Linked DNA regions of Nothobranchius furzeri. The protein of the gene in region 1 purifies or fractionates together with the protein of each later gene. This does not show direct contact. Links are inferred from orthologs where the notes say so. Each region holds a gene or a part of one and is shown in the gene's direction. Other genes may lie near its edges. The genes, in order: proto-oncogene tyrosine-protein kinase Src, pdgfrb and rack1.

What was found.
Region 2: the proteins of proto-oncogene tyrosine-protein kinase Src (region 1) and pdgfrb purify together in Homo sapiens (affinity purification with western blotting; 4 studies listed by BioGRID and IntAct, with this or other methods). This does not show direct contact. The link is inferred for Nothobranchius furzeri from reciprocal best matches to the Homo sapiens genes SRC and PDGFRB.
Region 3: the proteins of proto-oncogene tyrosine-protein kinase Src (region 1) and rack1 purify together in Homo sapiens (affinity purification with western blotting; 4 studies listed by BioGRID, with this or other methods). This does not show direct contact. The link is inferred for Nothobranchius furzeri from reciprocal best matches to the Homo sapiens genes SRC and RACK1.

Annotation. Positions count from the first base shown.
Region 1 is NC_091743.1:58,645,513-58,656,168, forward strand, and holds part of proto-oncogene tyrosine-protein kinase Src, read left to right. Parts: intron 1-5,648; exon of another isoform or gene 5,649-5,742; intron 5,743-6,429; 5' UTR 6,430-6,437; coding exon 6,438-6,711; intron 6,712-10,656. UniProt on the Homo sapiens protein: Non-receptor protein tyrosine kinase which is activated following engagement of many different classes of cellular receptors including immune response receptors, integrins and other adhesion receptors, receptor protein tyrosine kinases, G protein-coupled receptors as well as cytokine receptors.
Region 2 is NC_091741.1:96,097,228-96,107,883, reverse strand, and holds part of pdgfrb (platelet-derived growth factor receptor beta), read left to right. Parts: intron 1-3,547; 5' UTR 3,548-3,573; coding exon 3,574-3,622; intron 3,623-4,996; coding exon 4,997-5,314; intron 5,315-5,391; coding exon 5,392-5,646; intron 5,647-5,979; coding exon 5,980-6,110; intron 6,111-6,491; coding exon 6,492-6,657; intron 6,658-8,677; coding exon 8,678-8,858; intron 8,859-9,582; coding exon 9,583-9,698; intron 9,699-9,840; coding exon 9,841-9,964; intron 9,965-10,046; coding exon 10,047-10,258; intron 10,259-10,656. UniProt on the Homo sapiens protein: Tyrosine-protein kinase that acts as a cell-surface receptor for homodimeric PDGFB and PDGFD and for heterodimers formed by PDGFA and PDGFB, and plays an essential role in the regulation of embryonic development, cell proliferation, survival, differentiation, chemotaxis and migration.
Region 3 is NC_091741.1:97,229,436-97,240,191, reverse strand, and holds rack1 (small ribosomal subunit protein RACK1), read left to right. Parts: upstream 1-4,894; 5' UTR 4,895-5,006; coding exon 5,007-5,115; intron 5,116-5,578; coding exon 5,579-5,750; intron 5,751-6,951; coding exon 6,952-7,099; intron 7,100-7,387; coding exon 7,388-7,483; intron 7,484-7,642; coding exon 7,643-7,753; intron 7,754-7,991; coding exon 7,992-8,132; intron 8,133-8,322; coding exon 8,323-8,433; intron 8,434-8,633; coding exon 8,634-8,699; 3' UTR 8,700-8,750; downstream 8,751-10,756. Other genes in the region: nme5 (nucleoside diphosphate kinase homolog 5), read left to right, coding at 9,691-9,825. UniProt on the Homo sapiens protein: Scaffolding protein involved in the recruitment, assembly and/or regulation of a variety of signaling molecules. Interacts with a wide variety of proteins and plays a role in many cellular processes.

The DNA of each region.
Region 1 (10,656 bases):
TTAGTGATGAATCACATTTCAGTGGTTAGATTATGTTGTACACTAGGGGGTGCTAAAAATGAGCTAAACTGCCAAATGCGCATTTAACTAATGGTCTGACTTAAACACCCAGCAGTGCATAAAGTTAAGATTTAACAGTTAGTTAAATTCAGAGTTCAAAAACTGATTAAGTTTCTGACATTTTGTTCATCAACTGATGTTATTGGTGACTTTTGGCATGAAAATAATGTGGGGATGTCTAGATATCAGCCCATAAAAACCAGCTGTTCAAATCAGCCATCGGCTGACCGTGTCTGCTATATCGGCATCTGTGTCAGCGATAGAAAAACCAATAACAGTCGATGTCTACGAAGTAGCACATACATCTTAGCGTTGTGCTTAGGGAGAATGAGGTTCAGCTGTTGTTGGAGGCAAAATAAATATGGCAATTTTCCTGTTATGAACTTAAATTGAAGTAATTGTGCTTTTGTATAAAAGAAGTGTAAAATATAAGCATGTATGATTGCAGATATGTGATGTTAGTAACCTAAAATGTTTAAGTTTTTCTTAGTTTTTTATGAGGGGGACACAATCTATATCTGTATCAATTTATGTCGGCATCGGAGATAAAGAGTTGGCAACATCGGCCAAAAAGCCAATATCAAGCATCCCTACTTATGGGTTTATATCTAAGAGCAGATTTTTAACTGTTACGGATCAAGGCTTTAAAGAGGAAACTGATGTCTGTCATTTGTTGCAGATAGGTTTGTTTTATCGTCCGCCTGTTGCCCAACATCTAATATTTTGTACATATCAATACTAAAATATTTCAAGGCAGCTTTGAAAACTCAACAGAATCAATTTGTTTTACATGGACAAGTCAGGAAAATATTACCCTTGCTCCTGAAGCTAATATGTGCCGAGACTTGCCTGCATTCCTCTCAGGGCTCTGGCCTCTTTGTTTTTACTCTTTTCTCCACTTTATTTCTCTTCTTGACACTCGGTATTCAGTTCCTGTACAGAAGCGGGTCGTCGGGTTCGTCAACATGGAGACGGAGAGCTAGGCACGGGGCAGTAATGGATACAGAAATGCTCCTGAACGTTGGAAGGTTATTAACAGAACGAGTAATTAAAAAATATATATGTTTGAAATGTAACTCAAACAACTTTTTTAAGCGTGCATGCCTTACATGTATACTTTAATGATGGCTCAAGGCAACCAAAGCTACAGGAGTGTGTTTTGCATCCACCCTCTCTATTGCCACACACACACTGTGGTCTCTTTTTTTCTCCTCTCTCTCTCTACTTCCTTCCTCTCGTCCTGCCCTCCTGCTGCTCAGGTGCCTGTTCTTGTTACATTAGCTGGCACAGCGAAGTGGCGAGATGCGGTTTAATTCTCCCACATTCCTCTGTTCTCCTATTTTTATGTTTGCATCAACACAGAAACCAAAACTTATTTTATTTTATTATTTTCCATCTTTTTAAAGGCGTTTCACAATAAAAAACATTTTTTAATGATTATTTCTGATCATAATCGGTCACTCTGAGTTTAACAAACAGGCTGAACATGAAAATAGTCTCCTACACCAGTCTCCTGCATTCACTTCTGATAGAAAGTAGACAGAGAAAATTCTGACAGATCAACTTCACACTGTCACTTAACATTCATGGACTCACCCATCTTGACTCACGACGGGGAAGGTTGCAATTTAAGCATTTATGTCTCTGCTAATCGTTAGCAAAACCAACTCCACCACATTGCAGAACTCCTTCAGGCTTGTGTTATTGGTGGAGATGAGACATCCGTGCCGCAGAGCAAACAGTGGTAGAGTCGCATTGCTGTTATCCAATCAGAGGCGAGATGTACGAATGTCAGGAAATAAGACACCAAATCCTGCTGTGTTAAGTTTTCCTCTGATGTGGCATTCTGCTAGTTAGTTAGTTAGTTTCCCTCCTAGAGTACAACTTGCAAGGCATTCATTCCTACTAGTGACCACTGCGAATGCATTGCTTAAATGAGTGTCACACACCTTTAAACCTCATTTAAAAGACTGTGCTTTTATGTTACTATTTACCTCATGTGTTTACTCTTTCCAGTGCTAAAACATCACCATCATCACTCATTTCACAACGAAACGCTGGAGTTAGCTCACATTGGCATTACACCTCTCTGACTCCATATTAGGAAAAGGTGTGAGGCTTTCAGGTCTGTCTAAACATGTTGGTGCTGAAACATTCATCTCAGATGAATGCAGCATCTGGGAAAGAACCAGAGTAAATAATTGAACCAGTGCACGCTGTATCGTCATCGTCCTAGAGTCTTCATCACCAGCTTGAACATAGTGATTATCAAAGTTTCCTGCTTAGGTTTGTGAATCAGAATCTGTTTATTTCAGCTTGTTGCACCTCGTTGCTTAAGGAGAAGATATATTCCAGTGTTTTCCCAAATTCTAGTTGGTTTGTAACCATCAGTTCTCTCCAAAGACGAACAGATTGCTCGAGCCATGAAACAACACTAATAATGGGATGTTTTTTTTTACAAATTTTACCTAAATTGTGTTTTACTCAGGCCCCCACAATGCAGCTCTGAAATTGAGTCCAACCCGGAAGTGAAATAAATTGCAGTTCCACCCTCATCCGCTGGGGGCTGGTGTCAGAAACAAGCAAATCCTCATTGACTCCCATGTTAAAAATACCATTTTCACAGCAGAAATAAACATGTTTACAGCCTGGTACCAAAACATGTTTTTGGTTTAAATTATCTAGTTTACACTCATGACAACTATGAGGGGGGTGAATTTTTTCTCACTCTTCTGTTTAAGTGTATTAAAAGCCTAAAATTCTGTATAATTGAGCATCCGACACACGTGACCATAGAGCTAGCTCCGTGGAAAGGCCTCAGTAGAGCCTCCGTCTGGCTTGGAAACTGTTCCGGGATTTTGAGTCTCTGTGTGTGTGTATTCTTTTTTGGATATTTTTTGTGCAATTGTTGGACAAAATGACTTGCTGTGGCATTAATTGCACTAAAAGAGCGTCCAAGGAGTCTCCACTTCATTTTTTTCGGTAAGTAAAATTATATTCATGTATTTTGGGTCACTGCCGAGTTGAGCTTAGATTTTAACATGTACTGTTTAACCATGAAATTTAAATGTAATAGGGTAAAACCCAGTGCATTTAACATAATGCTGCACTTTAGAAAATGGGTTGAAATATAACATGTTGGTGGAGCTGGGTTCCGACTATCGGCTTGTGGAGCTCTTGGGAGACCGATGTTTTCCACCCTTATCCCTTCCCCACAGCCCGGTCCATCTCTGTCTGATCGCGGCTTCTGTTAGCTGCGCGGGCTGACGGCTGGTTCTTATGGCAAGCCAGAACCGCCAAAATACGCCACTTCTCCCCGCAGCTCGGCACATCTCTGTCTGATCGCGGCTTCTGTCTGCTGCGCGGGCTGCCGGCTTGTGGAGCTCTGAGATGGTAACCTTTGCACCCGGTTCTCCCCAGCGGCAGCTCTGCGCATCTCAGATCGCAGCGGCAAAACAAAAACAAATGTACCAAATCGGCACTCAACAGAAGTCGTAGCCTAGGGCTTCTAATGCTGCTGTTTACAAACTGGAAGTCTGTCTCCAAACGGAGTACAGATGAGCAGTAGCTTCTTTTGTCTTTCTTAAGTTGCACAAACATCTGTCTAAACGTCACCCTCAGCTCCTCCTCTCTTCCCTTTTATGGAATTGTCTGGGCTTGACGGAACCTTTGACACAGTCAAAATGGCGGTGGTGGCTACCTCCCATTTTAGCAGAAAAACTTGTTATTGAAGCCTATGGAAACCCATTGTCCATATATTTATGTAGATGGTTTTACTCCCTTTTTTTTTGTTTCCCTCCATCCATAGTTAGGAGCACCATGGTTGTAAAGCTAAGAGAAAAAAAATGAACCAAAATTCACAACGTGTCCAGCATCAATGCAGCCTTTTAATTTTTCTGCTTATCTTATTCAAGCTCTAAGACAAAGTGATCAACAAACATAATAGTTCAGAAGTCAGGATTCTGAGGTTTTTCTGAGAATAAAGTCTGAGATCTTTGTTTCTCTTCTGCTAGTGTCTACTCTAGAGATCATTTCTTGAAACAAACACTTTTGCAAAAGGAGTTTGGATATTTTTTTTTCATGGCATGTTGAGATTTGTTGGAAATGAAACAAATAAAACACAGATATAAAAATACTTCTGGTATTTTTAGTGCTGTTGCTGTGGAACTTCAATTCCATAAAAAAAACTGAAAACAACTTAAATCTGCATTTTTTAAAATTGTTTTTATGAACATGGGTCAGTTGTATTTCTCTCATTTGTAGTCATAGTTATTAAGAACCATTATGGAAGGTCCAGAGAGCCACTTGTGGCTCCAGAGCCGCTGGTTAGAGACCCCTGGGTCAGTTTAATGTGTCTGTTTCGAGCCCAAGCTAGCTTGAGCTCTCACCCTGCTGCTGTTCCACCCCTCATCTAGATCATCCAGTTTGGCTTTGATGCATACTGGGAAAAAACATTTCAGGAATGTATCCTTGCCTGTTTCCAGATCAATCTGAGTGGTTGTCATGCTTGAGTAAACGGTGACTCATGTGTCATGTTTAGGAGCTCATTTGCACGCAGGCTTTCAGGTGAACATGGATGTAAAAGCAAACATGTTCTTTTGTCATCAGAGGTTATTTACAGCCTTGGAAGAACTTGTTGTTGCTTCTCATGTCCCACTAGATGTTGCAACATCTGTATCTGCTGAGAATTTCTCGTCTGTTCTTGATCCTTTCATGTTTTTTGTGTTTAGGCCCTTTAAAGTGAGCTCACTTTAGGTAGGCACCACCCACTGACAGTGCAGACGCATACTGATGAAGCAACATAGTAATCAGTCTAAATCATAGTATTTTTCCTACTTTCTTAGCTCTCTGTATGAGGTGCTATTATCTAGCCCTGCGCTCATACACAGCCTGAAATGACCTTTAAGAGGATTTTTGCATACATTCCTGATATGCATGAGCATCCTACCTATTTGCTTGTATTGGCAGTCTAGGTGTGGCACGTGTGCCTCTGGTAAGTTTTAAACCAGTGTTGACTTAGTTCTTAATAGTGTTGACTTAGTTCTTAATGCCTAATGCGAAAGCTGACCCCTGACCCCCACCCCCACGTTGACATTTGTGCACATTCACGCTCCCTCAGAAGCTGAGTCGCCCACATGTCTTCTCAGTGGGATGCTGCCATGTCTCTGAGAATTCCCATACCTGTGTAATTATGTTATGCTCACACATCACACTTTAAACACCCACTAAGCCTCAGCTGTCCGGGCAGTACATAACAACCACCCACACGTTCTTTTTAAAGCCACAGCCAGTTTCCTTCCTCCGTGTCTGTTAATAACCTCCCCTGTCCTGTCCTGTCTGTCTGTCTGTCGGTGTGTGTTGGAAACTATCAAGTGTTGGAAAGGAAAAAAGGATGTGAGACACAACTGTACTTGGGTGCTAGTGTGCAGCTGAGCCTAGTTTCCTAGATGCGAGGGAACAGCTGCTAATGCACATGAACACACACACCCACCCCTATGCACTTTGGCGCGCTCTTGTCTGGAATCGAGAGTGCTTTAATTCAGAGGAACAAGACTGTGTTTCATGTGTGTATGACTGTCTTGTTTCAGCTGGCCTGAAATAGCTGGTCTCCCAGTGAGTCACTCCACAGAGCCTGAAGGGGAGGAACAGAACCGGTGTGCGAACAAGGCTCTCCAACTTTCTGTGGGTGCTCTTGACTGTGAGCTTGTTTGTCTTTGTGCTTACTGACAGCACACCCTCGACTCGCTGCGTTTATCGGGATGTAACAGATATATTTGACACCTCTGTGCCCTTGTCGGCTCACCAGCATTAATACTTTGCGTCGTTGAGACCCATGGCTGCTTTCTGTTTACAGCTTTGTTTACCTCGTTGATGCTTATTGATTCCAACTTGATTTAAACCGTTAAGCACGACCTTGGATTCTGATTGTGTGTGTGGTTTGTGTCTACTGTAAACGCAAGCAGTTCTAACTGACCTGGGAACAGCTCCAGGGATATTCTGGTGGATCGGGAGAGCTGGAATAAATGTGTTGACTGATTTGCCAACTTTTGGGGGGGGGGGGGGGGGGGGGTAAATATGTTAAAAGTTCCTGAGGAAAATCCTTTAAAACCATATTTCTTTGCTTTAAAGAAGACTAATAATTTTAACCACAGTGAAATCCAGTTTTACTGAATGTTTTTGTGTTTCATTACATGATGAAACACAAAAAAATGTGTTTCTTATAAAAAAAACACATTTAAAATGAAAGAAAAATGCATAACAAAGCTGAGAGACCCTTCATTTGCATAAAAATTGATTTTTGACGCTTTTACTTTTTGTAGCAGCTTTTGGTCTTACCGTATCCTTTCTGATGGTTGGCTCTTGTTCCAGGTCTGCACATGGGGGCGGGCAAAAGCAAGCCCAAGGAGCCAGGCCAGCGCTCCATGAGCCTGGACGGGACCATAGGCACCGGCTCCGATAGCGGACGCTTCCACCACTTGGACTCCACTCAGCAGACCCAGACCCCCAATCGAAGCCCTGCTGTTGGGACGGGCCGTCGGGGACAACAAGGGCAGCGCCAGCTTGCCCCGACAAATACCCCTGAACTGTCTCTCTTTGGAGGAGTGGACCACACGGGAAGTGTCATATCACCCTACAGAGGACTGCTGTCAGGTAGGAAATTAGATTGTGGCAGGTTTTTGTAAAACAAAGAGGTTTAGAAAGCTGAATATAGACCTAATAAATGGTTAAATTAAAACATACAGAATTCTTCTGTAAAAAATGATCTAGATTTAGTTAAAAATACATTTCAGATATAATCAGAATCAGAATGAATTTTATTGCCAGCGCTCAGATCAGATCAGAGCATAGGAACTTGACTCCATAGTACAACCTGACCAAGGTTACACACACATATATAGACAGGACAGATACAGGCAGACAGGCATAAATTAAATTATTTTTGGTTCAGATTAAAGCTTTACACCTCAACCATCCTCCCCTTAATTCTGGTGTTCCCCCTGCCTCTGTACTTGGATCTCTCCTGTTTATCATCTACCTCTTCCTTAAATTGACAATATTTTCCATAAAGATGACATTCAATACCAACATAGATGTAGCATAGAGGACACTCAGATCTACAGTGCTCAGCATAAATGAGTACACCCCCTTTTAAAAAGTATGAATTTAATTAGTTGCTTAATGAACAAAAGAACCATTTCCAGAATTTTGGCTGGGATTTATTGAACACTTGTCTAACTCCTTAAAATTAAATGAAGCTTTATAATATAACATAGATCACACAAACTTTTACTAAAATTGGTTGAAGCAAAAAGTGAATACACCCCCAACAAAATCTACTACATCTAGTATTTTGTAACACCACCATGATTTTCAAGGACAGTACCAAGTCTTCTAGGCATGGAATGAACAAGTTGGCGACATATTGCAACATCTGTCGTTTTCTATTCTTCAAGAATAACCTCGTTTAGAGCCTGGATGCTGGATGGAGATTGAGGCTCAACTTGCTGCTTCAGAATTCTCCACAGGTGTTTGATTGGGTTCAGATCAGGAGACATACTTGGCCATTCAAGCACCTTCACCCTGTTCTTCTTCAGAAATGCAACAGTAGCTTTAGATGTGTGTTTTGGTTCATTGTCGTGTTGGAATAGCCTGGCAAGCCAGACTAAATAAATGTATTATTTAGTCTGGCCATGCTCCGTTGACGGCTCTCGGTTGTGGGGCGGGTTCTACCGTTGTCTTTCAAATGATCTCCGCATTCCACTGGACAATGAATGTGACATACTCTTGTTTCACTCTGTGGCATCATCCCACCCACCAGGCATATAGAGTGCCCTGATTGGCCCACAAAGCGGATAAAGCTCTGTGATTTGTTCACTAAGCAGATAGAGCACTATGATTGGCCCACCATTATGGACCAATCACAGCTCTTTATGTGTTTGAAACCCCTCTAGAGAGCTGTGATTGGCCAGCCAGAGTCCTGGTAGGAGCTGCTGAGGTTCCAATGGAGCGTGTCTAGACCATTCTTTGCAAAGCAAGAATTTGGTCTAGTTCACTAGGCTAGTGTTGGAAAAGTGATTGCAGCATCTTCTCCTTCAGAATAGAGTAGTACATTGTTGAGTTCATGATACCAGCACCCCAACACCAGCAGCACTCATGCAGCCCCACATAAGGACACTGCCACCACCGTGTTTCACTGTAGGCACCATGCATTTCTCTTTGAAATCCTCACCTTTACAACAGCACACAGTTTTGAAACCATTAGTTCCAAAAACTGATCTTTGTCTCATCACTCCAGAGTCTGGAGTCCCAGTAGTCAATCTTTTTCAGCATGGGCCCTAGCAAATACTTGGAGTGTTTTTTTGTGCATGGGCTTTAGGAGGAGCTTCCTTCGTGGACAATACCCATGCATGCCATTCCTCTGCAGTGTGCGCCGTATGGTGTCACAGGAAACGGTCTGCTATAGCTAACTGTAGTGAACTTGCATGGCGATTTTCTTCAACCCTTCTTATCAGAAGATGCTCCTGTCGAAGTGTTAACTTGTATAGATGGCCTGGACGTCTCTGTAAGATGGTTGCTCTTCCATCTTTCTTAAACTTTGGATCATTTTGCTACAGTATTTTGATTGATATGTAAAGCTTTGCTGATCTTCTTGTAGCCTTCACCTTTTTTGTGTAAAGAAATGATTTCTTTCTCAGATTTTGTTATTTCTCTTCCATGTGGCGCCATTGCTGACAGTATGAAATGGGAACAGCTTTTCTTTGCTAGGTAATGCATTTAGATAGTCACCTGTCTGCTGGACACCTCTTAAATGAATCATTAGACTCACCTGTGGTTGAATGCCTGTTCATTAGAATTTTGTAGTCTTAAGTGTGGCTTTTTTCCTAAGACTATAATTGGGGTGTACTCATTTTTGCAACATGGGCTGGAATGGATTTGTTAGCAAAATCCCTTTTTTGTGTGTGGAAATGGACAAATCTTATTTGCAATCAATGGCCCACATTTGCGGGAGTGCTACAGGTCCTTTAAAAAAAATTAGCATATTGTGATAAAGTTCATTATTTTCTGTAATGTACTGATAAACATTAGACTTTCATATATATTAGATTCATTACATACAACTGAAGTAGTTCAAGCCTTTTATTGTTTCTAATATTGATGATTTTGGCATACAGCTCACGAAAACCCAAAATTCCTATCTAAAAAAATTAGCATATCATGAAAAGGTTCTCTAAACGAGCTATTAACCTAATCCTCTGAAACAACTAATTAACTCTAAACACCTGCAAAAGTTTCCTGAGGCTTTTAAAAACTCCCAGCCTGGTTCATTCCTCAAAACCGCAATCATGGGTAAGACTGCCGACCTGACTGCTGTCCAGAAGGCCATCATTGACACCCTCAAGCAAGAGGGTAAGACACAAAAAGAAATTTCTGAACGAATAGGCTGTTCCCAGAGTGCTGTATCAAGGCACCTCAGAGGGAAGTCTGTGGGAAGGAAAAAGTGTGGCAGAAAACGCTGCATAATGAGAAGAGGTGACCGGACCATTAGGAAGACTGTGAAGAAGGACCGATTCCAGACCTTGGGGGACCTGCAGATGCAGTGTACTGAGTCTGGAGTAAAACATCCAGAGCCACCGTGTACAGGTGTGTGCAGGAAATGGGCTACAGGTGCCGCATTCCCCAGGTCAAGCCACTTTTGAACCAGAAACAGCGGCAGAAGCGCCTGACCTGGGCTACAGAGAAGCAGCACTGGACTGTTGCTCAGTGGTCCAAAGTACCTTTTTCGGATGAAAGCAAATTTTGCATGTCATTCGGAAATCAAGGTGCCAGAGTCTGGAGGAAGACTGGGCAGAGGGAAATGCCAAAATGCCTGAAGTCCAGTGTCAAGTACCCACAGCCAGTGATGGTCTGGGGTGCCATGTCAGCTGCTAGTGTTGGTCCACTGTATTTTATCAAGGGCAGGGTCAATGCAGCTAGCTATCAGGAGATTTTGGAGCACTTCATGCTTCCATCTGCTGAAAAGCTTTATGGAGATGAAGATTTCATTTTTCAGCATGACCTGGCACCTGCTCACAGTGCCAAAACCACTGGTAAATGGTTTACTGACCATAGTATTACTGTGCTCAATTGGCCTGCCAACTCTCCTGACCTGGACCCCATAGAGAATCTGTGGGATATTGTGAAGAGGAAGTTGAGAGACGCAAGACCCAACACTCTGGATGAGCTTGAGGGCCGCTATCGAAGCATCCTGGGCCTCCATAACGCCTCAGCAGTGCCACAGGCTGATTGTCTCCATGCCACGCGGCATTGAAGCAGTCATTTCTGCAAAAGGATTCCCAACCAAGTATTGAGTGCATAACTGAACATAATTATTTGAAGGTTGAATTTTTTTGTATTAAAACACTTCTTTTATCAGTTGGATAAAATATGCTAATTTTTTGAGACAGGAATTTGGGGTTTTCATGAGCTGTATGCCAAAATCATCAATATTAAAAACAATAAAGGGCTCAAACTACTTCAGTTGTGTAATGAATCTAATATATATGAAAGTCTAATGTTTAGCAGTACATTACAGAAAATAATTAACTTTATCACAAT
Region 2 (10,656 bases), on another chromosome or scaffold:
CTTCTTCTTCTTCTTCTTCTTCTTCTTCAGTGGGTGTGTTGGAGCAGTTTAGCCTGAAGCAGACCAACTTGGTTTGAGAAAAAATACAAGGCTACCTAGATGTGAACATTTTATATGCTACTCAGCCTGGGCCGTGCTGGCCCAGATGTGAAACTGCCATTAAACACCTGAGAAGATGGAGCCTGCCAGAGGGAGCTCGTTCCAAAGGACTGGTGCCATCACTGAGAAGGCCTGGTCCACTCTTGATCTCGTCTTAGAGCATTAGCAAAACCATTAGCTTTGATAGTCACTGTTTGTTTAGGACTAACTTTCTTCTCTTTACCGTCTCTGTCCACCTCTAACTTTAAGGCCCTGTCCTAAAAACTACAGATACTCTTTCCTGTTTATGAAAGTATCTTCACCAACAACACTCAAGTATCCCTCCAGCTCTGGCCTTTTGTAAACAGATGATACAAACTGAGTAACTTAAAAAGTCAGTTTTTAATAATATCTGGATTAGTGTTGGGGGGTAGAGAGAGCAGGGCCCATAGGTGTGTGGTTACCATAGTAACCAAAGTGAGCCATTTTCAATGATGTTTCCTTCACACATCATATAGCATTTATACACGTCAAAACCTAATATTTTGTAATTACACCAGTAGTGTCCAATCCACCAGTCTGCGTGTTTTAAGGATTACTTCAGCACACCTAACCTAAATCCTAATCTTAATGGGTGATTAGCAGGCTTCTGCAGAACTTGATGACCACTCCCACCACTCAGTCAGGAAACAACTGAAACATGCAGGACAGTGAACTGGACACCATTGGCTTAGTTCATTAAAAAAATTAAGCTATGATACTTTAGTGATTTAGCCTAAAAGCATTATTGGTAACAATATACAATATGGGTCCATTTTTTAACATCACTTAGTGCATTATTAAGCATTAATAAACAAAAGATCCCTTCATTAACATTCCTAATATTGTTAACTATTTGCGTCCTTGAGGCTAGGACAAAGGGCCAGTGGGAGGGCTGCTCAGTAATACATTACTTCATATTTACATTAATATTAAGCAGTTGTCAGTACTTTAGTTAATAGTTTATTAATGTCTAATAATGTACTAAGTAACATTAATTAATGAAGCCCTATTGTAAAGTGTTACCACGTTGTTTTTCTAGCTGTATTTATCGTATAATTCATGAAAGCTCAAGTTTTAGGTGAAATTTATCTTCAAAGCCTTCTGCGAACCCCCCCCCCCCCACCCCCCACCCCCCCCCCCCACCACCACCACCACCACACACACTGTCCATTGGTCAACATGAACCTTCATGTTGCAGAAGCTAAACATAATTTTTCCGTTCATTTCAGAGTTTCAGAATTTTGTCAGATAAGAATTTATTTTTAACCCTTTAGTCTTAGATGTAATCCTCTTGTCAGAGCACATTCTTCATCCAAAATACAACTTAACTTATGATTGGTTAGCGTTCATGATGCCAAACAACTTTTGCCTTCAGCCCCATCGAATTCTGTTGTCCTCCTCACTGACACTGAGGATACAGTCTTTAGCTGAGCGCTGATGAATGGCTTCCTCGCTGAACGGGCCCGGGTGACTCGCTGCCGGGGCCCCCAGGGATGAGGTGACCCCTCTGCTCTGGCCGTCATCACCAGCAAAGTCCCGAGTGTATCGGCGGTCCTGGGAAAGTTTCAGATTAAAACTGTGGGAACGTGAACTGTACTCTGAGATCAGTGACAGAAAGGGAAGGAGAGGTGTGTGTGTGTGTGTGTGTGTGTGTGTGTGTGTGTGTGTGTGTGTGTGTGTGTGTGTGTGTGTGTGTGTGTGTGTGTGTGTGTGTGTGTGTGTGTGTGTGTGTGTTTGTGTCTGTGTGTGTGTTGAGAAGGGGGTATGTGGGCTGTGATGTGTGTGTGAGCAGAATGGATTATCTCTCAGTGAGAATGTTTAGGTTTGCATCAACATCGACATCGCAGTGAAAATAAAAGTTCCTGCTCAGGATTCATCTGTCTCCGCGTCACCTCTCGTTATTAGAACCAGGAGGCGGGGGAGGAAATGGACCACTCTTGTTTTTGGAGCTGCTCAGAACCTTTGAGCTCTTCGATTTGGGAGCGGAAGTGCCAAAGGCAGTTAATTTAGGGAGGTCTGGTTTGAATAACCGACTTTACTCCCAAGATGTCTTTCACAGTTTCATATCTGACGACAAAGCCATGAAATTATTTAACACCTCCTAAAAAGTGGAGCTTTAGAGACTGTTCAGCAGTCAGATCTGGGTTAAGATGCTGACCACATTTAAAACTGTCTGATTTATTACATAAATGCACTAAAATAGTCCTGAATCCTAAAATAGAAGTATGAGGTAAGAAAAAACGTGAAACGTTAAATTGGGAAATATTTCTCGAGAAACATTTCACAATTTATTTTCCACTGGCTCACGCTCTTCCTCCTCCACCCGCGCTCTTCTCAAGACTCACTCTTCCACCCTCTTTCTTTCCCACCCACTTGTGTACAGGCCTGTGATCCATCCTTAACTGTTTCCAGACGTCTGCATGTTTCAGGCCGAACCCCCCCCCCCCCCCCCCTCCAAATATAACAACAAACCCCTCCTCTTCCATCTCCTCTGGCCTCTGCACCACCATGAAGTTAGTAGTTAAAGTCAGAGATGAGATGGTGACGAACTCCACTGAATCAGGTCCTCTTAGCTTTTGTATTTGCATCAGCGCACATGAGAAGTCTTGCAAAACCCATGGCAACCTTTCAGAATTGCCCTCCTGTCAGAGTGAATGCCTTAGTTTTCACTTTTTGTTTACCCCAAAAGCCAATTAATGGCTCAGCGTGGCCGGAGAATAGCTTGGACGCAGCATTGTTGCCAGTGAGCGTGCTGTAAAGCTGCACACAGTGACCCGTTTGTTAGTGGGCAGAGTGGTGGTGAACCAGCAACACAAAGACGTGGGACATTGTTGCTGTGTCCCGGTGCAGCGAGGCATCAAATACCACCAGAGCTCAGCTGCATCTGCGCTGAGACAGAAAGCGAGCAGCTTTCTTTGGCAAATGATTTGTGATCTTAACAAAATGTCTCTTGAACCACTGGATGGATTTTAGTGAAACTATCAGAAAGTATTTGCTGATCATCCATCTACTGCTGAGAGAGGCCACCAGCGCAGCTGCACAACCATGGCTCATGCAAAAATGGCTACAACTCCATCAGCTTTGTAGTTACAGGTGTGAACTTGGTGTGGAAGTAGCTGAGAGTCATTCATAATAGACACCGACTGTGTGAGATGTAGCATGAGATTACATGTAGGATTGTTTTCAAGCTTTTACCAATTATCAATTATACCTCCTTCAAGAAACACCAGGTCTGTCATTTAGGGTGTTTTGTTTTATTTTCAGTGGGCAAAAATATGTTTCTTCTTTTGTTTTGCTCACTTTGACTGACATCTGTTACCAGTTTTGACTTAATGTCACACGACCTGCGTTTTAGCAATCATTTACAGCGTGAGGGTCAGTAATTTACCAAAATGACTCGTGGGATTTCTCTGATTTCTGTTTGCAGAACAAGGTGGTCATCAGGCAGCCACAATGAGGAGGGTGACAGCATCCGTGCTCCAGCGGACAGTTACATTCACAGGTGAGGGTTACAATCCAATCTAGCAACAAGTGAAAATGAGGGGTTTGTCTTGCAGGAGAGCAAGACCTGTTTTCAGTACTTTTAAGGCAAATTAATGCAGTTAAAGGGGACATATTATTACCTTTTTCATAAATTTTAAATAGTTCTGTGGTCAATAAAAATAAGTTTATTGAGTTTTTTTGCATAAAATCCCTCTCACATAAAGCTAACTCAGCTGTTTATTCTTGACGTTTTCAGAACCTTCCAGAATGAGCCGTTTCAGGGCGCTTTCACTTTATTTCGTAGGGGCAGCAGTAGCTCAGGAGGAAGAGCGGGTTGTCCATTAATTGGAAGGTAGCAGGTTCGATTCCGACTCTCACCAGAGATTGCTGCCGTTGTGTCCTTGGCGAAGAAGCTTAACCCGCCTTGTGTGCTGGTGGTGGTCAGAGAATAGATGGCGCCTGTGTTCGGCAGGCCTCGCCCTTGTCAGTGGTCCTCAGGGCAGCTGTGGCTACATCGTAGCTCATCCCCACCAGCGTGTGAATGGGTGTATAGCTACGTTTACGTGCTCCAAGTTTCCCCAATCCGATTCAAATCTAGGTTGATCGGAAATCTCAAATCTCTGTTCATATGGACACTAACTGAAATTATCCGATCATGCCGTGAGTATACTTACACCAAGCATTCATTCAGATTAAATAGGTTGAGCGTGTGTAGAGTTGTCTTTCCCGGAAAAAAAAACATGTAACCGCACATCTTCTCCCTCATATTTTATTTTCTTATTCTCTTTGAGCGTTGTTCGTTAACTTACGTTCCACTACTTTTGCTATTTCTGATTTCACACACAGAGACTTTTTGAAACAGCTTGATTTAGCACATAGTTGCTAAAACCAAACACTGAGAAAATGGATGAACGGGCTATTTCTACGTTTGGAGTGTTTATAGAGGTGACAGAGACCCACATGGCAGCACAAAAGTTGCATAATATGTCCCCTTTAATGTTTATTCTCAAATTAAACAGACAGTGAAACAATACATACATTTTAATCACATATTTTATAATCACAGATTATTTCCTTTAATTAATGGAAAAGTATTTAAAGTGTAATTTGATGAGCTGAATTTTGACCTCAGCACATAGACTGTAGATCAGCTGTGAGAAAACAAACGCTTTGATGTGAAGGATAAATGACGCATTCTGAATGATTTTTAATCCATCTGTCACTGAATAGCCGTCCTCATCCTCCTACTCATCTGCTCCAGACAGCTTGTATCCATCACCGGGTGGAGATAGACCAGGATCTGACTTACACTGTTGACTTGACCTCTGAACTCGTTGCACCATGTATTTGAGCCCCTCCATGCTGACCTCCTATTTTGTTGCGTAAACTGCAGCTTTGGTGCTTTTCTGCGCTGAAGTTAGCAGCCTGGAGATCAAACCTGATGGCAAAGCGTTCGTCCTGAATCGAGGCTCCACTCTCAGCCTAACCTGCTCCGGATCCAGGGAGGCAACCTGGGCGTTTAAGACAGACGATCTGAGTCAGCGTCTAAGAGAGGGAGATGAATACGGACGACAGATTTACAAAATTGCGCAGAAAAATCTGACGTCCAGTGTTCTGACTCTGCGGAGTGTGAGCTGGAGGCACACTGGTGTGTACCAGTGCACTGATGTGATCACAGGGGAAACCAAAGAGGCGGTTGTGTTTGTCCCTGGTGAGTTCTGCTTGTAATATCTTAATATTCCTAAATGCTTTCTGACAGCTAATGAGCAAACTCACGTCTCGCTGCAGATCCTGAGGTGTGGTTCATCAGTCACCACGGCGCGGTAGCAAAGACCAGTGAGGAAAGCACCATCCCCTGTGTGGTCACCAACCCAAACATCACCGTCACGCTCCACCAACAGGACAGCGGCCGGCCAATCAGAGGCCTGTATGTTCCTGGAGAGGGGTTCAAGGTGGCGCTTGAGGACAGGATGTACGTGTGTCGGGGAGAACTGAACGGGGAACTGAGAGAGTCTCAGAATTTTAACGTCTTCAGCATTACTGGTAAGTTTCCAGGTCAGACAGTTCAGATTTATTCAGTCTGAGCCCAAAAACCCAAAAGAAATAACTCATAAGAGAAGAAACGGCAAGATTTAGTACCAGAGTTATTTCCTTTGTGACAATCGCTATTTATTATGTTGTAGTACTTTTAAAGAGATTGAACCAAAGAGGTCAAAGGTCAAATGTAGCTCTGACTTGTTAGATTCAAATGTTGTTTTTAACGTTTGCTTTTGTGCAATTAGCTGATTAATGATGACTGAGGTCAGCTTGTTGCCCCTGTGATTTGTTAAATCCATGCTCTCCCCTCCTCTCCGTCACCCTCGTCTCTCCTTCCAGTCCCCAAGACCATCGACCCCTACATCAACGCCACAAAGACGGTGCTGAAGCAGGGCGAAGCGCTGACTATAAACTGCACAGTGCACGGAGTGGAGCTGGCAGATTTTTCATGGGATTTTCCCAACAGGGAGGTGAGTGGGAGCGGAGCAGAACAAGAGCTTTTGTTTCAGCTTTCTCCTTGTGTTGTTGTTTTTGTGATCCCTGTGCGGCCTCCTGACCAAACCCAAAGTGCATCAAGATGTGAAGACACACCTCGATCCTGCTGTGTAAATGCTTTCACAACATCAGGAGTGGAGAGTGACCTGTTTCTTCCGATGTCTGTTATAGGGGAACCTTGTGTTTTTTATTCACTGTTGAAATCATCTGTTAAAAGGCAAATTAAACAATTAAACTTTATTGCTAACGCAGGATTCAAACAAAGATTGCACCTAAAACTATTTTACAGATTAAAAATGACCCCACAAAGCTAACTTGTGTAAATTTGATCCTTCTGGTTTCCCTCTCTCCTTTAGCTCATGGAGGTTGAGCCTCAGATGGAGTACCTGCCCATCGCCATCATGCGCTCCTGGCTCCTCTTCCCTCAAGTCACCGTAGCTCATAGCGGCACGTACGAATGCCACGTCATTGAAAGTGTTGTAGGACACACAGCTTCTGCCAGCATCCACATCACCGTGCTCGGTTAGACACACACACACACACACACGCGCGCACACACACACACACACACACACACAAACACACACAGCTAAAACAAACTGATTCTCTGAAGATTATTATTGGGTTTGGCTGACCGACTCTTATGTTAACACTGGGATATTAAAGCAGGAGAAGGGCTGTTTAGAGGAAATGAAAACCCGTTTAATTTGTTTCTGCGGATTATGTCAAATAAACTTCGGCCCCAGCGTGAAACCCCCGAGTGATTACCTTGAAGCTCACACCTGCAAATCAGAGGGAGCAGCAGCTCTATATTTAGACTTTAGGTGAGGATGTGTTTGTGTTTCTGGGAATTTTCTTTAAACAGAAACTCATATAAATTTACAACACAGGACTTGGAGCCAATAAAAACAGGATTCCTCTGACTGAACTTGTTTTTTCTCGTGCTACGTCCACCCCTGCATGCACGTTGGGGGTGTGTTTGCTTACTCCATCTGCAGCGAGGTGTGTTATGTTTTAAAAGACCTTTAAATAACTCAAACCTCCATGTTGGATGGAAACAGGAGACCAGGGTTGTTGTTAGTTTTGTCTAATAGACAGGTCTGCCACCCAACGCGGAGGCCAGATGAGTTTGATTAATGTCAAACTTTGCATATATAAAAGCATTACACACATATTAAATGTTTTTATTAGGCATATCACATCCCGCTCGTTAAGAGAAGATTGTGGGAATAATTTTGGTCAGACTCAACAAAAAATTCTCCACTGTTTTCTTCTCACAACATTTCTGGCCAGAAGAAGTGAACAGAACCTGAGAGGATAAACACTTTCCTGGGGGCTTGGGGAATGCGGCACCTTAGCCCATCTCCTGCACACGCCTGTACACGGTGGCTCTGGATGTTTCTACTCCAGACTCAGTCCACTGCTTCCGCAGGTCCCCTAAGGTCTGGAATCGGTCCTTCTCCACAATCTTCCTCAGGGTCCGGACGGTCACCTCTTCGTGTTGTGCAGCGTTTTCTGCCACACTTTTTCCTTCCCACTGAGGTGCCTTGATACAGCACTCTGGGAACAGCCGATTCATTCAGAAAGTTCTTTCTGTGTCTTACCCTCTTGCTTGAGGGTGTCAATGATGGCCTTCTGGACAGCATTCAGGTCGGCAGTCTTACCCATGATTGCGGTTTTGAGTAATGAACCAGGCTGGGAGTTTTTAAAAGCCTCAGGAATCTTTTGCAGGTGTTTAGAGTTAATTAGTTGATTCAGATGATTAGGTTAATAGCTCGTTTAGAGAACCTTTTCATGATGTGCTAATTTTTTGAGATGGGAATTTTGGGTTTTCATGAGCTGTATGCTAAAATCATCAATATTAGAAACAATAAAAGGCTTGGACTACTTCAGTTGTGTGTAGTGAATCTAATATATATGAAAGTCTAATGTTTATCAGTACATTACAGAAAATAACGAACTTTATCACAATATGCTAATTTTTTTGAGAAGGGCCTGTGCATGCACAAAAAATACCACAACTCTAAAGGAAAGCTTATCCTGCAACTCAATATAAATATTCTGATTATCTGATTGTTGCTGATGTCAGCTAAGATATCACTCAGATAAATAAATCAACATCTTTTTCTAATTTTATTTAAAATACATTAAAATTAACTATTTGTAGGTTGTCGTGTTGTTATGCCAACTTTAAGCTCACTGGCAGGTTTAGAATTACAGTTACTGGATGAAATAAGAAAGAAAACATACTGCAAATAACAAAAGTTTCATAAAACATTTATATAAAACCAGCAAATGTAGATGATTTTGTGACTATGGAACATATTTCAGAGCTGAAACAGAAGAAATGCCCTCACTAAAGCACATTCCCAGTTTGCTAAATGTTTTAATTTAAACACAGATGCACTACACGTGAGCAGTGGTTCATTCCTGCAGACGTGCACTGTTTGCATGTTTCTGACTAGAATAGAAAAACAGACATGCAAGAAATACTTAAAAGATTAAATAGAAAATGCTTTACAAAGGCTTGTTTTCTTCTCAGAACACGGTTTTGTGGACATGAAGCCCATGCAGCATCAGAGGATCTCAGCCAAGCTCCAGGAGAACGTGGAGCTGAGGGTGGACATCGAGGCCTACCCTCCTCCTCAGATTCTCTGGACCAAAGACGGCACCGCCATCAAGGGAGACACAGCCATCCTCTCCAGACAAGAGCATGAAATAAGGTGGAACAGCTCATCTAAATGCCTCCTTATATTTAAAGAATTATCAAAAACTTTGGACAGTCCAGGAGCCTCCAGAGGCGATCTGTCCGTCACCACCAGATGAGACCTCCACAGAGAGAAATCCAATCCTCTCCAGAGGGAAGGAAGCCATCTTTCAGCGCACAGGAACCATAAACACTAAATACCTATCACAACTCCCTAATGACCCTCAAACGCTCAACAAAGCCTGGGCTCTTGCCTTTTCAACCAAAACGATCGAATTAAATGGGATTTTAAAAGTTCATTGTTGAAAAGCCTCGAATCAATCAGTAAATCAGAAAAGTTCCTGTCCAACAGTTCTGCTTTTGGCTGAAATCGTCAGAAGATCATGTTTGATTATTGAGACGTGTTTGTCCTATTAATGGTGTTTTTCTTCTTTCTTTTTTCTTTTATTTTTTCTTTTATTTTTTCTAATTTTTACAAATTATTCATGTAGGTTAATCATTCATGTTAGAAATGATTGGAAAACAACATACCATATTTCAAATTTTTATCTAAACATTCCCATAAGAGACGTTTTTCCGTAGTCCCTGAGAGCCTCTCTGATGGAGGTTCTAACAAAACGTTGAACCTGTGGACATTTAGCTCCAGACAGAAGTTAATCTAATCAAACCCAAGAAACTCCTGAAAGATCGATGATTGTTTTTATTTTCCTGACAGCTTGTTCATTTGGCTTTTGCCTCAGGTATCTCACCATTCTCACCTTGGTGAGGGTGAGGGCGGAGCAGAAAGGCCTCTACGCTGTCCTCGTTACCAACGGAGACGACACGAAGCAGGTTGTCTTTGACTTGGAGGTCCAAGGTGTGAAAAAGTTCTCACAAACTCTAGAATGTTTAAATATTTGACACATTTTTGTTGTTTTTTTTCTCCACAAACATGTTTTTAAAGTAGCGTTTGAAGGCAAACTCAGTCATGATTAAAGCCTCCGCCTCCATGTTTGCAGTTCCAGCTCAGATTAAAGACCTGACAGACCACCACCTCCCAGGGCAGGGACACTTAGTGACCTGTGTAGCAGAGGGGTTTCCAGCTCCCATCATACAGTGGTACAGCTGTGACAGCATGCTGAAGTGAGTCACACACCCCCTGAGAACACAAGAGGGCTCCACTGCTGCTGCAGCTGTTCCCATCTCACCCGGTGTCCCGCTTCAGGTGCAACAACCAGTCTGCTGTGTGGCAGCCGCTGACCCCGCGACCGGAGGAGCTGAGCATCCAGACCAACGCCAGCTACAATGAGACTCATAAAATCATCCAGGTGCGCAGCAAGATGGTCTTCCTCAAGCCTCAGCACTTCACCGTTCGCTGTGAGACCACCAACCGAGCCGGACTGGTCAGCAGGAGGGATGTCAAACTGGTGTCCAGCAGTAAGTGCCACAAGATGTCAGACCTTTTATGTGTCATTTACACTTAGATAAGGAACACCTGAAGATTAGGAAATGCATTTTTATAATACGTTTATACATGTGTTTCTAAGCTGAATATTCAGCCCCTGGTGGCATTTTTAATTGACTCTTTGATGTTGGGCTAAAACTTTCCATCTTCAGATACGTTTTTGTCAGTAAAATCTGTCTATGTACAATATATATAAAGGCTATCATGTTTGTACCACAGATATCAGATCAGCTACGTTTTAAAGAAAATGTGTAATCTTGTGTTTACATTTGGTTAATAGTTTTTGACCCCCTTAATTGGTTAATTCTCCGTAAACCACAGACAGACGGATGCAGAGCTGACTGATGCACAAACATAAAGTTTTTCAAAT
Region 3 (10,756 bases), on another chromosome or scaffold:
AACCTTTGTAACTGCTCTCAGAAAAGTCTTTGCCTTTGTTTTTTTACCTGGGTGTTGCAACACATTTCTCTCGGATGGAAAATCTGTTGGTGCTTCTTTAATTTCAAAGCTATTTTATGAAACCACTTAGAAAAGGCACGCACAGATGCAGAATTTTATATAAAAATCTGCAACAAGTGCACTTTCTGGTTGGTACTGATAAACGTTTATGTCAGGATCCACAGGGATATTGATGGAAGATTAGGTAGATTTTTAAATAAAGGCCCTGCTGCTTTCCTTATTCAGTGTTACTCTGATGGAGCCTCATGGATTTGCTTCAGTCATGCTGCAGATTTCTAATTTCTGCTGTTTTATTGGATTCTATGTTTTTTATTATTTCATCTTGCTAAATAATTTCTGTATCAGTCTTGTTTTAATTTAAGTTTATTGAGGATTTGTTTATTAGAAAAGAGTGTTTCAGATATTAAGCTGAAATCAACAAATTCAAAAACGTACACGATGGGTGAAACATTTTATTTGAACACTTGTGTATAACTGAAGACGATTTAAAGATCAAGTTTTGCTGTATTTCAGTGTCAGACGGTAGTTATCTGTTGCATATCTTCATATGTGTTTATTTCTTTTACAGATTCTATCAGCTCCTTTTTAAAATGTTGGTTTATTGAAGTACGTTCATGGCACAGTGTCTGATTGGAGTTTCACATTGTAACAGATCTTAATACAACAGTATTAGCTAAACTTTGTGTGAATGTTTTTACTTTTGGTTGTGTTCATTGGTTGTAAAAGATTTAAGCTATTTTTGTAATTACTTGTCCAAATATAAATATATATGTGAAATAAGTAAAACAAAAAATCTGGTCCGTAAACATGCAGACAAAAATAAACTTTAAAGTGTTATGGTTTCATTTTATCATGCTAATGTGTCTTTTCCTTTTTGGTCGTGAGGGCAGCTTGAGCAGAGTTCTGTCTGTGTAGGTTTATCTAATTCCATTATTTTGTTCTTTTCCAAACACAGTGATAGATATTTGTTATTTACCTTTTTACAGACAGGTTTAGGCTACATCTGTAGCCGTTTTCATCATTGGTGACGCTCTGAAGAAGGCTACAGATGTAGCCCAAACTTGTCACCAAGAAGGTAAATAACATTTCTAATACTCAGTGTTCAGAAAAGAACCAAAGATGGAATTGGCTGAGCTCTCACTTCGGCATAAGAAACCGCTACAATGCCCACATCACTTTAGATGCAACACCAATCCTATTGATCGCCCACTACATTTTCCCTCACTCATTAGGAGAAGGCATTCTACCCTTTTCTGACTCAAGACCATGGTCTATGATTTCCAGGTGGGATTCTCATTCCGGCTGCTTCAAACTCACCTGTGGCCGAGATCACGGTCTGATGAAGCCAACAGGAACACATTATCTATAAAATGCAGAGAACTGATCCTTGGGCCACCAAAACAGATCCCCTCAACACCTTGGCTGTGCCTAGAAATCCAGTCCATAGATGTTAGGAGCAGAATCTGTGACAAAGGGTAGCCTTTGGACAGAGTCCAACTCATGGGAATGAGCCCAACTTACTGCAGAGTCCGATAAATTTTAGTGGCTGGGCTGCAAAGTGAAACAGCAGTCCACGGGGGGCGCTCATTACTGGCCTCCATCCAGGCACGAATGGATGCAATATCTGCATCAACATCCTGGGCCTGGCTCAAGTCCCCCATGGTCCAACCATGAAACAAAGGAACACATGTACCTTCTCAGTCTGCTTTACAACACGTGAATCAGTGGGAATGTTCTGATGTATTGTGTCTGTATGTGTGGAAGTGTTTTGGTCTAGACTCTAGAATATTTGTGTTGGGTGTAGGGGTGCTTTGACTTACCCCCACTGGACAGACTGTTGTGTCAGCCCGCCGGTCGCTCTTCCACCCCCACTGGACTCAGCAACAGAAATCTCCCATCAGAATCCAAGCTGCACTGGAATGCCAAATGTGTAGATGGGTTCGGAAGTTTGCATAGGCTAGACAGGTGGCATGGTCTTCTGGAAAGACTATCAGCATTTGTGTGCACCCGACCCGGGTGATGAACGATCTCAAAGTCATATTTGGCAAGCTTCTCAAGCCAACGAGCTAACTGTCCTTCGGGCTCTTTCATCTCTGTAAGCCAATGCAGGCTTCCATGGTCTGTGCACACCTTAACCCTGTGGAGGCAGGCGTTGCTGATTTGCAATGTTAAAACCTACCTACCTGATGCTCCACATACATATTTCATGAGCATTTTTTAACTTAGAAGTACCCCTGAAGGACTTAGTTGTTCGTCCTTTTATCAAAACTTATTTTGAGCCTGAGAGGGTTAAAGGGCTGCCCCAGGAGATACTGGCGGAAATGGGAAGTGAAATCCACAATGGCCAGCAATTGACTAGTAATTAAAATTGCGCCCACATTTTCTAAGTTAACACACATCTCTTTTAACAATGGTAGTTTTTGCATCTTTACAGTTCCCCTGCTTCAGAAGTTGAGGGCTTCCAGGAGCTCCCTCTAGCTCACCCATATTTCGAATGTTGCGTATAGCACAAGTTTGTCACGTGAGTTGCTGAATCCTAGCAGACAGTTGCCTTTCAAAATAAAATAGTTCCCGGATCTTGTTCCAGCAAGATCTGGCTCAAATTAAGCCCTGTCTACAAGTCTACAAAACACGTAGATTGGTTGGATGAACTCCTGTGCACCCTCTATGACCCTGCTAAGGGTATAGAGCTGGTCTAGTGTTCCACAGACCAGGAGAATATCACATTTTCCTCCTAAATCTGATTGATTATCCAGGGGACCTTTGTCTCTGGATCCTTTGAAGAGACTTTGCCTGCTAAGCTCAGGAGTGTTTTCCCCCTGTGGTTGGAGCACACCATCCAGTACCTCTTTATAAATAGGGGGATCATCACCCCAGTCTGTCAATCCAGTGGAACTGCCCCCAGTATCCACAATATTTACTGTGCCGCATCAACCAACACAGTCCCACAACATCCAGCGCCTTGAGGAACTCCAGGCGAATCTCACCCACCACTGGAGCCCTACCACTAAGGAGTCTCTTAACCACTTTGGTTGCCTCAGCACTAGAGACTTGATAGCCCAAACCCCCAGAATTCACTTCCTAAATGGAAGATGTGCCAGTGGAATTGAGGAGGTATTTAAAGTACTCTTTCCACTGACTCACAACATCCCAAGTGGAGGTCAGCAGTACACCATCCCCACCATAAACAGTGTTGGTGGTGCAGCTGTGTCACCCTCCTGAGACATCAAATGGTGGACCAGAATCTTCTCAAAGTATGAAACTCCTCCATGGCCTCATCAAACTCCTTCCAGCAGGTATTTTCTTCCTCCACCACCTGAACCACACTTCACTTGGTATCTGGTGCCTCAGACCAAAAGACTCAACAGGCACATACTACTCTGTGGCCGTAGCTCTAGTCAGCTGTTTCAACTTTTATTTTAGTAAAATAAAGCAAATGACTAAAGAAGTTTGAAAATGACATGTTTTAGAAAGTAAAACGTCATCTGCTAGGATGATCAAGTCTTACAGTGAGAGGAGGCTTACCATACAATTTTTTTCTAAGCACACAACACTGTTACCAATATTCTCACTTCAGCCTAATGTAACAGTGTTGAAATAGTGTAGCTGTGCAGTAGTTTACATATAGAAATATCAGATTATTCATAAAACATACCAGTAGAAAGCCTGGAAATTGAAGGATTCCAAATGTTGTTCAACATGTGAGATAAAACATTAATTATTTTGTAGCGTGGCATCATTGTCTTGTCTGTAATTGGCCTTTTTTTATTAGGTTATATGTTTTTATGGTTGTTTTATATTGTCTTATTTGTACTTGTTGCCTGCTGTATTGTCCAGCACCTTGGGTGTTTGATGAGATTGTGGAAGGGACATTACAATCTTCTGTGCATTCATTCTGGGTCTTTTTAACTTGTATTTTTTTTTTGGTTCTCTTTTAAACACAGGAAAGAAAAGTTTTCTTCTCTGTGTTTAAAAAAGAACCAATAAATAAATAAATAAATAAATACAAGAGACTTTACAAATAAAGTGAAATGAAATGAAAATTCAAATTTTAAAGATTGTTTGTTAATCAGTACACAAGTATAGAGCAGGCATGTATGTGGCCCTCATTTGTCGCCCTTGGAGCAATTTATGTCACTGTCGTCCCCCCCCCCCCCCCCCCCAACATTGTATGTTCAAACTTAATAGTCCATTTTGACAAATTTTAGGGAGTACAAATGCAAGAATAAATATTTTTAGCATTTAAAAAATGTATATGTTGTGGCCTACAAGGACAGTTAACTTGCTGATTTTGGCTCTTATCTAGGAAAGTTTGGACATCCCTGGTATAAAATATATCAAGGCGTCAACTTTAAAGCCGCCTTTCACATGAAAAGAAACAAATATTATGGGATTAAAGCTCGTGTGTGTGTGTGTGTGTGTGTGTGTGTGTGTGTGTGTGTGTGTGTGTGTGTGTGTGTGTGTGTGTGTGTGTGTGTGTGTGTAACATAAAGTATAAAAAATACGGACGTTTGTAAAATATAGAATATTCTAAAATCAGAAAATTTGTGTCCATCACAGACATTTTATTTTACTGGTGCTATGTTTCGTAAGAGCTTAATTTCCTTTATTCATTCAGACAGAAACATATCAGGGATGTGCACAGCTGTTACCAATAACCAAATCAGTGTGTATTACTTATATATAATGGTGATGTGTTGTAAGTGAAATGTTTTATCATGTTTCTAAACAGTCCCCTTCAGTCTTTTCTTGTAGCACACTTGGATGACTTGGGGAAAAAAACATATCCCAGAATGCTCTGCGAGCCCTTCACCCCTCTTAGTTTTTGCATCCGGGTCTGTACTTCCTTTTCCTCCGTGCCTAGATGCGATGAGGACCTAGGTTTTTACGAACCTGAGAAATATCCGAATCCATCCTTGTAAAAGGCACCACCGAACCTCGTCAAAATGACCGAGCAGATGACAGTGAGGGGGACCCTGAAGGGCCACAGTGGATGGGTCACCCAGATCGCCACTACCCCTCAGTATCCCGACATGATTCTGTCGGCGTCCCGAGGTGAGGCTTCCCCCGCCGGCAGCCGCCAACATGGCTACAGCTAGCTTTGTAAGCTAGCAGTGACTCTTTGGTAATGTTACAAAAATACGATTTTTGCGGAAGTGGCAGAAGACCGCTGAAATGTGATTACAACAGCCTAAAGGCTCATTAATCGCTTATAGTGAACATTTGCGACTTCAGAAGTGGAGGAAACCTGGTGTAGTTAAACTTGTGCTTTCTAGCGTCATTAGCTGGATCTACTGTGTTTCACTCCTGGGTTTACACCAACATAGCACCGACACTGATTCATCCAGTTAAACATCAGACTACTTGACATGAGGTTATAAGGCCTTGAACCAAGCGCTGCAATGTGATATTAACTTGATATTAACTTAAGTGCTAGCTTCGCATGCTAATGCTACCTACCTGCTCTTTGCTTTAGGCAATACTCCTGAGTCCTGAACCTTATGTGTTAAACTTTCAGACAAGTCCATCATCATGTGGAAGCTGACTCGTGACGAGACCAACTATGGGATCCCTCAGCGCTCTCTGAGGGGCCACTCTCACTTTGTAAGTGATGTTGTCATCTCCTCGGATGGACAGTTTGCTCTCTCAGGCGCCTGGGACGGCTCCCTCCGACTGTGGGACCTCACCACGTAAGTACAGCTAGGAAGAAAGCTTCTACATCAGATCCGCTGTCCTGTAAATATATCTCTTTACCCGTTTACCTGCTCCCAACATATTTAAATGTGTGAGAGCATCTAGAGAAGTCAACTTAGGAAGGTTGTGATGAAATCAGTTAATCTGGGTCCTTTAGAGCAGGAAACGTGTGGAACTTGCAGGATGGTACCCCTCAAGGAAAAAAGTTGCTGACCCTTGATCTGCATCATCTAAGCATCTATGTGGAACACAGTTTAAACTAGTTAATGCTTTTCTTTTTAGAAATAAGTAAGTTGGTAAAGACTTGCATGTTTGTATTAGCTGGAAGTATGTCCTTTCTAAATTTAAGTTGTAACAAACATCCTGGATAGTTTTAAAGATATGATTTGTCACCTTTGTTCTATAAATGAAAATGTGTTTGAACCGATGTTAACACACAGTCCGCGCTAATGCGTATTTGTTACTAGAGCTACAAACATTTCAGCACTTATGACCTCTAAATACCAAGTTGCCAGGGAACATAACTTAAGCCATAAAACAGTTGGGAAATGACATCTAGTTAAGCTACACCATGTGTAAACCCAATCTTGGTGAACAAACTTCATTTGCGTGTACATGACCGTGCAACAGCTTTTTATACTAGTGTTTTGTACCACAGATAGAACTTCAGTAATCTCGCACTAAATAATAAACAGCAGACATTTAAAAATGCAGTTATATACAATTACAATGTTTGTCAGAGATCCTATAAAATAAATTCTCCCAGTTTCTTGTACCCGACACTGTTGTTCCACAGTGTTATTGTCCTTACTACACCTTCATCACTTTATACACTCCTTAGTTGTGACTTAAGAGAACAGTAGATCTAAATAAATGGGTTTGGGGTTTATACAGGAATAAAACTACAGTCCATGTTTGAACAGTTTTAATCATCTAAGTGAGGAGCTGGAATTTGATTCTGGCTAAAGTGCTGGAACCCGATATAAACTGAACCTAAAAAAAATTGTCATTGATCGGCATTAAGGTTTGTGTACTAAAGTGATTTGTTTGAATACAAGTGGGGAAAAAAACTGTTTTAACTCCTTAAATGACTGTAGCTTGTAGAGGCCATAATTAGTAGAGGAGGGCAGGCATTTTAAACTGTAAACTTAATATAGCTTTATTCTAATCGGACGTCTTAATCTTGTGTTTTTCTAGTGGCACCACCACCCGTCAGTTTGTTGGACACACAAAGGATGTTTTGAGTGTGGCTTTCTCTGCTGATAACCGTCAGATTGTATCTGGCTCCCGAGACAAGACCATCAAGCTGTGGAACACTCTTGGAGTCTGCAAGTACACCATTCAGGTGAGCTGTCACTTAATGCTGCTGCTGCTGCTGCTTAGAGCTGTTCCTTCTTTGGTTTTCATTTAGTTTTTGTTCAAGCTTTTTTTTTTTTTTTTAACTAGTTTTACATTTTCTGAGGTAGAGCACACAGCTCAGCCATCAGCTGGAGCATTGTGGACTAAATCTGTATGATGGTTTTAAGTGTGTAGTGTGTCAGGATCATGGAATAAGTCTCGGTGGTTACATGAGCTAAAGTGAGCCATTGTTGGGATGAGCTGAACTTTAAACTGTTCAAACTTGATTTTGCAGGATGAAGGCCATTCTGAGTGGGTGTCTTGTGTTCGCTTCTCCCCCAACAGCAGCAACCCCATCATTGTCTCCTGTGGCTGGGACAAGGTGGTCAAGGTATGGTTTACTAGTAATTTGCTAATGTTTGGTCCTGGTTAGATGGTTTAACTTAGTTTGCATTTATTAGCTGACTACTTGCGTAAGACAACCTTTTTTATGATTAGCTTCCATGTTGGATGTTGATGTTTGTTCTGTCTCGGGTGTGATGCCTCTCAGGTGTGGAACCTGGCCAACTGCAAGCTGAAGACCAACCACATTGGTCACACTGGCTATTTGAACACAGTGACCGTCTCCCCTGATGGCTCTCTGTGTGCATCTGGTGGAAAGGTAACATCTGCTTCCAGTAATTGTAGATTTCTGTAAAATGTTCTTTTTTAGAATCTTTAAGTGAACGGACAAGTTTTTGCAATGATGGAAAATTAATCATACATCTGTTTTAAAATGATGACAATAGAGGCTGTTTCTGAGCACGACTTGAACTTGTCACGATCCCCGTTTGTGGGGTTGGGTATCGTGTTAAGAGCTGCGATGTAATCACTGAAGAATGTTTTCTGTTGGTGTTCAGGATGGCCAGGCCATGCTGTGGGACCTGAATGAAGGCAAGCACCTGTACACCCTGGATAGTGGTGACACCATCAACGCCCTTTGTTTCAGCCCCAACCGTTATTGGCTCTGTGCCGCCACCGGCCCCAGCATCAAGATCTGGGTAAGATGTTAAGCTAAACATGTTATCAAGGAGGACTGTGATGAAATTTAAAATGTTAGCTGTATTGTTTGATGATATCAGAGGCTGTTTCTGAGCTCCGACCCAATAGAGAATGTCAATAAATTCAGGTATGTTACTTATTACCTTGGTTAGAGATACCATCACTCTGGTTCTCTTTTACCTCATTCAGGATCTGGAGGGCAAGATCATTGTGGATGAACTGAAACAGGAAGTGATCAGCACGAACAGCAAGGCAGAACCGCCACAGTGTACTTCCCTGGCGTGGTCTGCTGATGGACAGGTACGACACTCTCTGGAGGACCTTTAAATGCAGATTTCTGTTGTGACCCCTGTGATTATACCCATTCACTTTTAACTCTGATTAATTCTGCTGACAGTCCTGCAAATATGAGGGGCACCAGAGAACCACTCACATGATTGAGCCTTTTTGAAAAGCGTGCTATTATGGATGCTAACTTCTGTTCCTCTTTTACTCAACAGACCTTGTTTGCTGGCTACACTGACAACCTGATCAGAGTGTGGCAGGTCACCATTGGAACACGATAAGAACAGCCTTGCTAATGCAGCTTTGAATAAAGAGACTCTTTGAAAATAAAATGTTTTGATCTTGTATTTAATTTTGACTGTTAAATTGTTTTTTATCAAAAGGGAACATCGATCACATCGATTTAAAAAAATCTGCTGAAACAATGATCAACAGTAACGTGAAAAAATGATTGAAAAATTAGGGAAAACTAAGTTTCTGTATTTATTTATTTTACTTATTTTGCCTTTATTTAACCAGGTTGGTCCCATTGAGATACAAGATCTCTTTTGCAAGGGAGACCTGGCCAAGACGGACAGAGCAGCAGCACAAGTTACAAAATTAATACATTCACATTTAAATACATTTCCACATAAACTCAATTAAAACAAACACACTGATGGTCTGGATTCCAGTGACCTAATCAGTCAAATCCACTCAAGGAAACCAAATCCTTGATTTTTAGATCTTTTTGTAGTGAATTCCATGTTGATGGAGCAGCAAAGCTAAAAGCCGACTTTCCCAGCTCTGCGAACCTTAGGAACAACAAATTGCAAAAGTTCACTTGAGCGGAGATTGAACTGATTCTGCTGTGAGGATGGAAACATCCCTATCAGCTTGGACCAGTTTTTATTAAGTGAAATGGGATTTAAAGTCTGAAACATTTCTATTTTTTAACACTGTTCAAATAACTGCTTGTACATTAAATCTTGGCTGCTAATCTGAAATGGAATACAGAATTAAAATTACACAAAAAAAAAACCATGGGACAACCGGTCATTAAAATTTTGATTTAACTGGTGGTTTTCTAAATCTGGGGCTTGTAATTTGGAAAGTTCAACTGACGTTTGCAATTCGCATGGATTGTCCTACTTCAGACGCCGTAATTGTATCCTAGCAACTAGTCGACAGAACGAGCCCAGAGTGCTGCTCCAGGTTGGAGTTCCTTGTTTAGTTTACTGCTACATAGTCAAGTTTTGCGTGAGCCGTATTTCGTGGCCATTTAGCGTTCAGATGAAGATGGATCGTAAAAGGCCATATCACCGTGTCATCGTAGAGAAAACGCTGGCCGTCATTAAGCCAGACGCGTTTCAGCTGGCAGATGAGATTGAGAATGTTATCGTCAAATCTGGCTTCAGTATACTTCAGGTGAGTGGAAGTCACCTACTTTCTAGAGGCGCGTTTTCAATATTTGTGGAAGGAAGATATTTTTATTAAAATAGATTTATTTAGATGCCCGATAAACGCTGATTTCCATTGATCATCCTACGATCTGGTTTCAAATATTACGCTTCATGGCTTCAAAAGGTGACCGCTTTTTGAGGCCGTGTGGCTCTTACGTAGTTTTTTCAGTAGAGGGCAGTAACGGGCTGTAATTTTACTGGAAACCCTATTAAGACACCTTTTAAACGTTTAAAGGTGAATGTCTGCATGGTGTTTCTGTACATCTTTTTTCTTTCTTTTTTTTTTTTTTTTTTTTTTTTTTACTAATTGCACTTCAAAGATACTTATTGCTGTTAACTGAAACATGTCAACCATTTGATCTAGGAATGTGTGGATGTTAAATACTACAGATTACTTATATTTTTTGACTGAAATTTCACATTCACTCTTGACCATGACCTGTCAGTAATTTGCATAGACAAGTTAGTGGAAGACCTAAAACAGTGAACTGTAATGTGTGCAGCTACACACCAAATAATATACATGGGGGTGGAAGACACCCTCCTCTACCTGCAGCACTGGGTATATGTCGATGGTGCTGGCTCACCTCAAAATGCAAAAAAGCAATCTCAAGTGCTTTTAACACCATACAGCCGTGTCTACTGCAGCAGAAGATGAGGGGTGCAGGAGTGGTTGAACATCTGACTGCATGGACCATCAACTATCACCAACTGGCTACAGTACGTGAGGCTGCACAACTATATGTCTGATGTGTTTGTGTGCAGTACTGGAGCTCCACAGGGTATGGTGCTCTCACCCTTTCTATTCACCTTCTATACCTTGGACTTCAGCTACAAAACCAGCAACTGTCACCTCCAGAAGTTCTCAGATGACTCAACCACTGTCGGCTGTGTGT